Linked DNA regions of Saccharomyces cerevisiae S288C. The main gene of each other region encodes a partner of the protein of the gene in region 2 in a complex. Each region holds a gene or a part of one and is shown on either strand. Other genes may lie near its edges. The genes, in order: VID30 and GID7. A codon is read from its position in the direction of its gene.

What was found.
Region 1: the proteins of GID7 (region 2) and VID30 are in contact, whole or in part, in a cryo-EM structure (PDB 7NSB), measured with the Saccharomyces cerevisiae proteins. Residues at the interface, in NP_009891.1 of Saccharomyces cerevisiae: Ala182 (codon at 1,192), Val185 (codon at 1,183), Leu186 (codon at 1,180), Leu188 (codon at 1,174), Arg189 (codon at 1,171), Lys193 (codon at 1,159), Asp200 (codon at 1,138), Val204 (codon at 1,126), Asp207 (codon at 1,117), Phe209 (codon at 1,111), Leu210 (codon at 1,108), Asn211 (codon at 1,105), Glu212 (codon at 1,102), Ile215 (codon at 1,093), Phe216 (codon at 1,090), Arg223 (codon at 1,069), Ser226 (codon at 1,060), Thr227 (codon at 1,057), Leu229 (codon at 1,051), Thr230 (codon at 1,048), Asn231 (codon at 1,045), Pro232 (codon at 1,042), Lys233 (codon at 1,039), Ile648, Leu649, Ile650, Gln651, Lys652, Phe654, Arg690; in NP_011287.1 of Saccharomyces cerevisiae: Lys39 (codon at 1,637), Leu40 (codon at 1,634), Lys43 (codon at 1,625), Leu44 (codon at 1,622), Asn46 (codon at 1,616), Lys65 (codon at 1,559), Leu66 (codon at 1,556), Ala68 (codon at 1,550), Lys72 (codon at 1,538), Trp75 (codon at 1,529), Ser76 (codon at 1,526), Met79 (codon at 1,517), Leu84 (codon at 1,502), Thr86 (codon at 1,496), Ile87 (codon at 1,493), Ser88 (codon at 1,490), Phe89 (codon at 1,487), Phe111 (codon at 1,421), Arg114 (codon at 1,412), Phe115 (codon at 1,409), Ile830, Glu831, Ile834, Gln838, Ser841, Tyr846, Ser863, Asn864, Ser866, Ala867.

Annotation. Positions count from the first base shown.
Region 1 is NC_001139.9:67,494-71,421, reverse strand, and holds the start of VID30 (glucose-induced degradation complex subunit VID30), read right to left. Parts: upstream 1,752-3,928; coding exon 1-1,751. Other genes in the region: SHE10 (She10p), read right to left, coding at 2,091-3,824.
Region 2 is NC_001135.5:50,452-54,379, reverse strand, and holds the start of GID7 (glucose-induced degradation complex subunit GID7), read right to left. Parts: upstream 1,736-3,928; coding exon 1-1,735. Other genes in the region: GLK1 (glucokinase), read right to left, coding at 2,040-3,542; YCL042W (uncharacterized protein), read right to left, coding at 3,437-3,796.

The DNA.
Region 1 (3,928 bases), on a different chromosome or scaffold from region 2:
TTGATAGAATTCCCAGGTCGTAAGGCCACATATGGGACGAATTCTAGATCATTCAAGTCGGTGAATGCGTTACCTAAATGGATACCATTCTTCGTGAAAAAAATTGAGCCATCGATAAAATTTATGCCACAACCAATAACGTCATCCCTACCAAAAGGCTTAGCATATTCCTTAGATTGTTCTGTAGAATTAGTTATCAAACCGTCAAATCCGCAATAGCCAAATACATTAAGATCAAATCCGTATTTCTGACACTTATTTATGGAACCATCCACGTTAAGAGACATGGCTGAAACGCCCCCTTCATAAATATAATCACGCCTTTGAGTACCTTCCATAGTGAAAGAAGTAGAAGGTACTCTATTGGAACTCATGTTATTACTACCACCTAAGCTACTACTAGAACCGGCCACGCTTGAACGAGAAACACTCTTTTTTGTAGTCGCTTCCATTAATTCATTCTCTACTAACTTGTATCCGATAACAATGTTACTATTTTCAGCACTCTCTGTACTCGTTACACTGAGAACTTTAATCTCGTAATAGAATATAGTTAACTTATTGTCTGGCAATGACTTATTTGCCCAAGTGACTGCAAAGTCCACTTTCCCAGAGTTCTCAAAAGAGGTTCTCAGTCTATTTCTGGTAGAGGCAGAAGAAGCGCTTGATCTTTCATAAGTCATGTATGAGTGATAATCAGGATTAGGTTGTAAATGAGTAATACCATCTTGAGATAGCTGCAAGCTGTTATTTGGTTGAGCTTGCCATCTAGAAGGTAAAAAGTACCCAAGTATTTTGTAAATATCAGGGATCATTGAGTTTTTCTTTTTGCTACCACTGTTGGACAAAACATTTGTTGCCTCATTGTCATTTTTGTCGTTACCAGACGATACTCTAGGAGAAGAAAAGGAAGAACTTGGAGACTGATCAGGGGGGTAGTATTGTAGACCACTGTTCTTGTCAGATGTATCCCACAAATTCCTTGATTCTGTTTCTATATTAATAGCTGATCTAGATCTTTGATATATCCATGGGTCCGCAACCCTTTCGGCACGCTGCTGTGCACTGGACACATCAGCATCAGCTCCTCTACTTCCTTCTTCTCCACCTTCCTCGTGATTGTCAGAGCCATCTCCTTCGTTGTTATCGTCCGTGTCAGTATCCACTTCCCCTTCTAAGCTTTCCAGATCGGATTCATCGTCGTCGTCGTCATCGTCATCGTCATCATCGTCATCATCATCATCGTCATCATCATCGTCATTTCTGTCATTTTCCAGGCTGGTATTAGAGTTAAGCGCCATTTCACGTTCGGATAAAACGGGTTCTAATAGTTCCTGAGCATTTTTCCTCATGTCTGAGGAAGCTTTCATAACTCGCACTGAATTTTTATTTGAATCTTTAACACCAAATCTCAAAGTAAAATCATTAACGTCTGGATAGAAATATTTATAGACTTGAATCAGGTAATCGTCGTTGACAGCTTCAAACGAAATTGTGCCTAGAACACCCAAATTCATCAATTTAGACCAGATTTCTTTCCTTGTTAAAGCAGTTAACTTTGTCCTGCCCATTCCAACGCCAGTGGGATTTTCATCAGCGTTGATTAAGTTAGTGTTCTTCAGTTTGTGAAAGAGTTTTCTATGTTGCAAATATAAAATCCATAAATCATAAGCCACAGGCTGTTGCAGCAAGTAGCTCGGGAACAAACAGTTAATGAATTCGCGGTCTACGTCATCCATATATTCAGACATTTCCTCTTAATTATGCTGAAATTCGACGCTTGGCTTTAACGTACTACTAATATTTCTGCTATAACAGTAACAGTTCTGGTCCAATCCTTTGGCTCTTTCTTTTGGTTGATCGATTCATCAGTTCCCTCCCCTGAAAGGCTCGCGCGTCCTGTAATCTAGCAAAAATAGGCAGGATACAAAATACAGTGGAGTGGTAATATTATATTCTTATATGGCTATATATGTTTATATATAAAGGTAAAGACAAACAATAAAGAACATACATATATATATAGATAGATATTGTGTGTGTGTGTGTGTGTGTGTGTGTGTGTGTGTATAGCAAGCGCATGAATTTCATCACAATGTCATGGTAATGGTTGTGGTGATGGTCGAAGTAGAGGTGTAGGATACGTCTTCTTCGTCTTCTTCTTCCTGTTGTCGTAATAGCTCCTGCTGCCTTTGGAACTCTTCTGCTGCAGCTTTTTCACGCTCTTTTCTTTCACGTTCCTTTCTTTCACGTTCCTGAAATTGCAGGTTGGCTTTCGATCTTAGAATATACAAAAACTCACCACTCTCTTGAGTGAACGATAATATCTTCTTTTGCACTTTTTGCCTAAACGCGTTAACACGGGATAAGTCAGCGGAATGGTGAGCCAGCTTGTCTCTAGATTCTATGATCTGTTTCTTGCCCTTCAAAAACTTCTTCCAGTTAACAGAAGACTTTGCTTTCTCTTCATCAAGCGTAGTGTCATCATCTGCACCCATGTGAGCGTTGATAACATCCACATAAGCCATTCTTTTGGACCATTCATTTACAATGATATCACCCCATTCTTCAAATACCTCGACGTTTTCCTCTCTAATTGCATTAACTTTTTTTTCAATTTCATCAGTGATTTCGCTCAAATCTTTCTCCATAGCATTTGTCAGTTCGTCTAACGTCGAGCGCGTCTCGTTGAAGTACTCACGAACTAACTCTCTCGTTATGTACTGAGAAATCTCAGTACTTCCAGATTTATCGAAGAAAATTTTCTTGCCAGTTTCACTATCAATGCCTTCCACACATTCAATATCGTTAATGGCTAGCGAAATCTTGGAGAAGAACTTCTTAGATTTATCATCTAAAGATTGAAACTTGGCTTTAAAATGGTTGGCCTCCTCAACCAATTTACCATTGATGTATTTGGAAACATCCTTTTCAAATAGCTGTATGACGTCTTGTGTTTTCTGCAATATAGTCTCACTCCACATGTCAAAATCCTCTTGCAACAGAGCCTGTTCATTGACATTGACGTCTGTGGAGCCTTCAACGTCTGTGGAAGCCTCATCGTCGTGCGCATGATTAGCAACAGCGCTAGCCTCTTCCTGGTCCAAAGTAATTGTTTCAACCACTGTTTGAGTACTTGTTGTAGTTAGCTCCTCTTCGTCAGACTCCATAGTACTTACGGTTAAAACCATGTCCTCCGAGGAAGGCTCACGTGTGACAGAACCATGAATGCCATGCGTGTCCTTATTCTTGAACTTTCCCATTAATTTTTCCTCTGTATTACCAACAATAAAGTCGTATTTGGATTTGATGCATCTTGAAGTGATAGTAAAGTAATAATGGCCTATATTTTTATACTTTAAAATTCTTTCCTTCAAATGAGAGCGAAACTCCGCAGTAAAGAATTTGTCTAAGTTAGGTTTCACAAAAGCATTGTATTTTGCGAAGAAAAATCGTCTAGTCTTGACCATTGGGGAGCGGACCAATTGGTAATACTTTCCACAGTTCCATTTCTTACATTGTGAATGGATGACCTTGAATGCAGGCTGTATAGCGACCTTGTTCACTTTTACTGTAGCGTCATCGATGACAGGTTTGACAGCCGTGTCATATTTACGCGCCACTATATCGAAACCGGGACTAACTTTATTTTTGTATAATTCACAATTTCTTGAAAAGTAGGTGTTCCAGACTCTTGGATTGGTATAATGGCAAAGCGTTTGCGTGCGTTCACACGATATGCTCCCACTATTGAATTCGCAACAGTACTGAAGCAACGATACCAACACCGTCAGAGTTGTGATTAACTTTATCAGCTTTCCCATTTCGTTACGCTGCGTTCTTGTTTAGATGTAACAGCTTTTGTGCATCCAAGATATAAAGTACTTCAGAAATGGTGGTTGAAACAGAATGCCCATTACGCTTACTT
Region 2 (3,928 bases):
CCTCTTTGGAGGGGAACCCACTGAAATCGTAGACATCTATAACGCCCTGGTGGGTCATTAAAAGCACGTATTTATCGTCATAGCTGATTTTCACGTCGTGCACACGTGGAAAGGTTTCGTCGTCCTCCACATATTGCCAGTTACCATTGCTACTTGTTGGTTTGTAAAGGACTTTTGCAGGATCGATTGATTTTCTCCCAGAGATGTTTTCATCGTGGCCCAACGCGATACAAGTCCTGCCTTTTAAGCTAAAAAGTGACTCTTTCGTGGTGAGTGAGTGTACAATAGCTTCTCTGTCGGGCGATCCAACCACCATCCAGCCCGCACGTTCCGCAGTGTGGAAGGCATCGCAGCACCATACTCTTGATTGATTAGAATTCGCGTTTGCCGGCCTCGAGGAAGATGATGCTGATGATTCGGTATCATCTGGGTACGTGGTGGTGTCCAGTTTAAACGAGTCCATGGGCGAGAGCCTGGTAGAAGGGTATAGTAGGAACGAGTCTGTGGCAGACGCATCGGGCAGGGAGGTGGCATTCATGTCGTAAATGGTAACATCTTCGCTGAAAGGGCAAGCAACCAGATACCGGCTATCAGGAGAAAACATGAGGTACAATACGGATTGTGACAAGCTCACGCAAGTCTTATAAATTTTGAAGTCTTGTTCCACATCATAAACAGTAATGAAGTAGCCTCTTGAAGACTCGGAAGTCGCAGAAGCCAAATACTTGCCATTGGGCGAAAATGTCAAAAACCAAATTTCGTCTGTGGTGTCTTGGATAGTCTTCCATTCTTGAAAGGTCACAGTCAGATCGTGTGAGAAGTTATCCTGCAAAAGGTTGATCCGGTGGGGTGGAGAGGAGAAAGAGGCGTCATCATCCGGATCGATGATATTAAAAATGTCTTGTGATTGTTGATACTTGATGGCCTGTTTCAAGAGATGCAAGAGACGACCCTTGGGAACGAGTTCGTTCGGATCGATATATTTGGAGATGGCGTCAATCAGATGGTCTCGCTCGAGGTTCAACTGCGCGGTTAGTTTTGGGTTGGTCAGGTACGTCGACAGTTCTCTCAAGGTCGTTTCCGGATTGAAGATGTTTTCTTCATTTAGGAACTGATCGTTAGACACCAGCAGGGAATCCCATATCTCGATGAAGTTTTTGAGGATTTTGCGCAAATACAGGACGGGCAGTGCAGTGTGAGGGCCCTTGTGAGAGGCGGAATTTGTGACTGGATGGAAGAATTCGAGGAATATTTGTCTATTAACTAGAATCATGATCTCTACGTAATTTCTGAGCGTGGCGATCTCTGCGTCCGAACAAGTAGATGAATTTACAGAGCTCATCAGCTGTTGCAGGTATTGCAGTTGCAGGAGCATGTGGTCGAAAAGTGAAGTCGTGGCGGGCGTCGGCGTGGGAATGAGCAGCCTTTGAAGCCATTCGGACCTTAGCGGAGAGCTATGGGCAAGGGGCAGCGAGCAAACAATCTGCCAATTAATAAGATGGAATTGGCCGGTCTTGATGAGTTTGAAGAAAGTCTGGATGTGGTTAGACTCATTTTGATATCCGCCGCTCTCTAGCAGTAACTGGTTAGCGGCGGAGTCGTAGCCCAGCTCCTTTAGAGTATGTATCAGTAATTTAGTGAGCTGTTTCTTGTCAAAACAACCAACGGAAGAGGGCGAGGCTGTTTCCTCCGTGTCATTGTTCAACACGTATGCGATCTTATTAGTGTGTGACATTTTATTAGTTGAAGTAGTACGCCCCCTTGGAAGTGTTTTTCATATTTGACTTCCAAAAATGATAAAGGAAGACCTAGCAAGGCATTTATTGTTCTTCATTTTCCCTTAAAAACCAAAGGCCCGTTTCCGATGATATTGTTCATTAATGTGAGAAAATCATACATACATACATACGTTCTTATACGGTATTGTATAAGAATGTATGTATATACACTGAAAATATACATATATATATATATATATAAAGGAGAGAAGATGGTAAGTACGGTGGGATACGTACACAAACCAAAAAAATGTAAAAAGATCATGCTACAAGCGCACACAAGGCGGCACCCACTCCGGAACCATCCTTGGCAATCTTCAAGTGCACCTTCCTCTCACCCTCGGCACCCAAGGGTGACAAGGCTAAGGCGTGTCTCAGCATAGATCTGAAACCGGGGTAGTATTCCACAACGGAACCATCACAACCGATCTCGACTTCACCATGATATCTCTTGTTCAAAGCATTTGTCTTGATCAATATCGCGGCAAGCGGCACGGCGGCTAAATACGCAGATCTCCTAGAAATCGCGCGCACCAATTTTTGAATTTGAACACGCTCTGTTGGAGTGGTGGGCAGTCTGAGACTCTGTAATAATGACAACTCTGTTTCACGTAGACCTGTCGAGTCGTCAATTTCAATATGCGACAGCACTTCGGATGACAACTGGAAAGGTGTAGTCAAGTGGCGAGGAAGTTGTTCCTTGGACCTGTACTGTTGCAAAAGCAAGCCTTGCGAGTGCAAGTCCACTAAAATGTTACGCAACACCTCACCCAAGAACATCCCTGAGACACGTTTTTCAAACAAGTGAAATCCCGGGTTCGTTGACAGTTTCTGGTCAATTACGACGTCATACTTAGTAGTAGGCAAGTGCTTGAGCTCATTATCGAAGGACCCCCATTCGACATTGATGATCATGTGTGTCTTACCCTCCTTTATCAACTTGTCACGCAACTCCTGTGGCAACTTCGTGATCTTGTTGATCTCCTCCATATAGCACCCATTGGTACCGGTACCGAAAATACATCCGATGACCGGCTCCGAGATTTCTCCGGACGTCATTGAGTCCGTGTTATCGGACGTGTAGCAATGCGATAGGTACGTTCCGACGGTGTCGTTGGTTAATGCAACAACCTTGATCATAGGCATACCCTGAGCGCTTAATTGCTCCTGGTACAATTGCACGACATCCTTTCCGACGGTGTCCGCGATGCGGAAACCCTTGGTCCAACGGATCAATGTCCCGGAGTTTAGAGAGGTCTGGTCTACAGGGTATGAGAAAGTGAACCCCAGTTTCATGGGCTTGGCGTCTTTACCCTTGGCCAACTCGTCCGGGTGATACTTCTTCATAAAGGCCAGTGTACGACGTGCTAGAAACCCAAACAGGTCGTCAGATGTGACGTTCTCATCGTCTAGCAAATCATCGGGAATCTTGGACTTCATTTGCTCCATGGAGAAAGTATGATCTCCATGCAAGTTAACAGAACATATACGGAAATTGGTACCACCCAGGTCGGCGGCTAGTAAAACACCGCGCTCCGTCCCGTTGGGTGACCCGGTGACGAACGCCGGAATCATAGGAAGACCTTTGTCCGAGGCCAATGTGTGGCCTTCCTTTGGTGGAGCTAGACCTTTTTCCATTTGTTCGATGAAGTAAGCAGTTAATTCGTCCAGCTTCTCGGGGGTAACCTCGAAATCGTCGCAGATCTGGTCCACGGCCTGGATGACCGCTCTCTCAGTGGCTTTGTGTAAGTCGTCGAATGACATCTTGTGTATGATAGAGTTGTATTAGTGGTGGTGTTGTGGTTTACGGAAGCTGAGTTGGGCACTGATGGGGGGGTTGGGGGTTCTGTTGATAGCGGATATTTATATGGGCGCGTTTTCATTAGTGCCCACCGTTTGAGCGTGGTGTGACACCACGCCCAAGATAGGGGGCCCCCTGAAAGGGGTTGACCGTCCGTCGGCACACCACTTATAATGCGGGGTGCAAGCGCCGCGTCTAAAATTTTTTTTTTTTCCATTTTTGTCGTTATTGTTATTTCCCGTTTTTTGTTTTTTTTGATTTTTTCGGAGCGACAAACCTTTCGAAACACGTGTCCTGAAAATTATCCTGGGCTGCACGTGATAATATGTTACCCTGTCGGGCGGCGCCT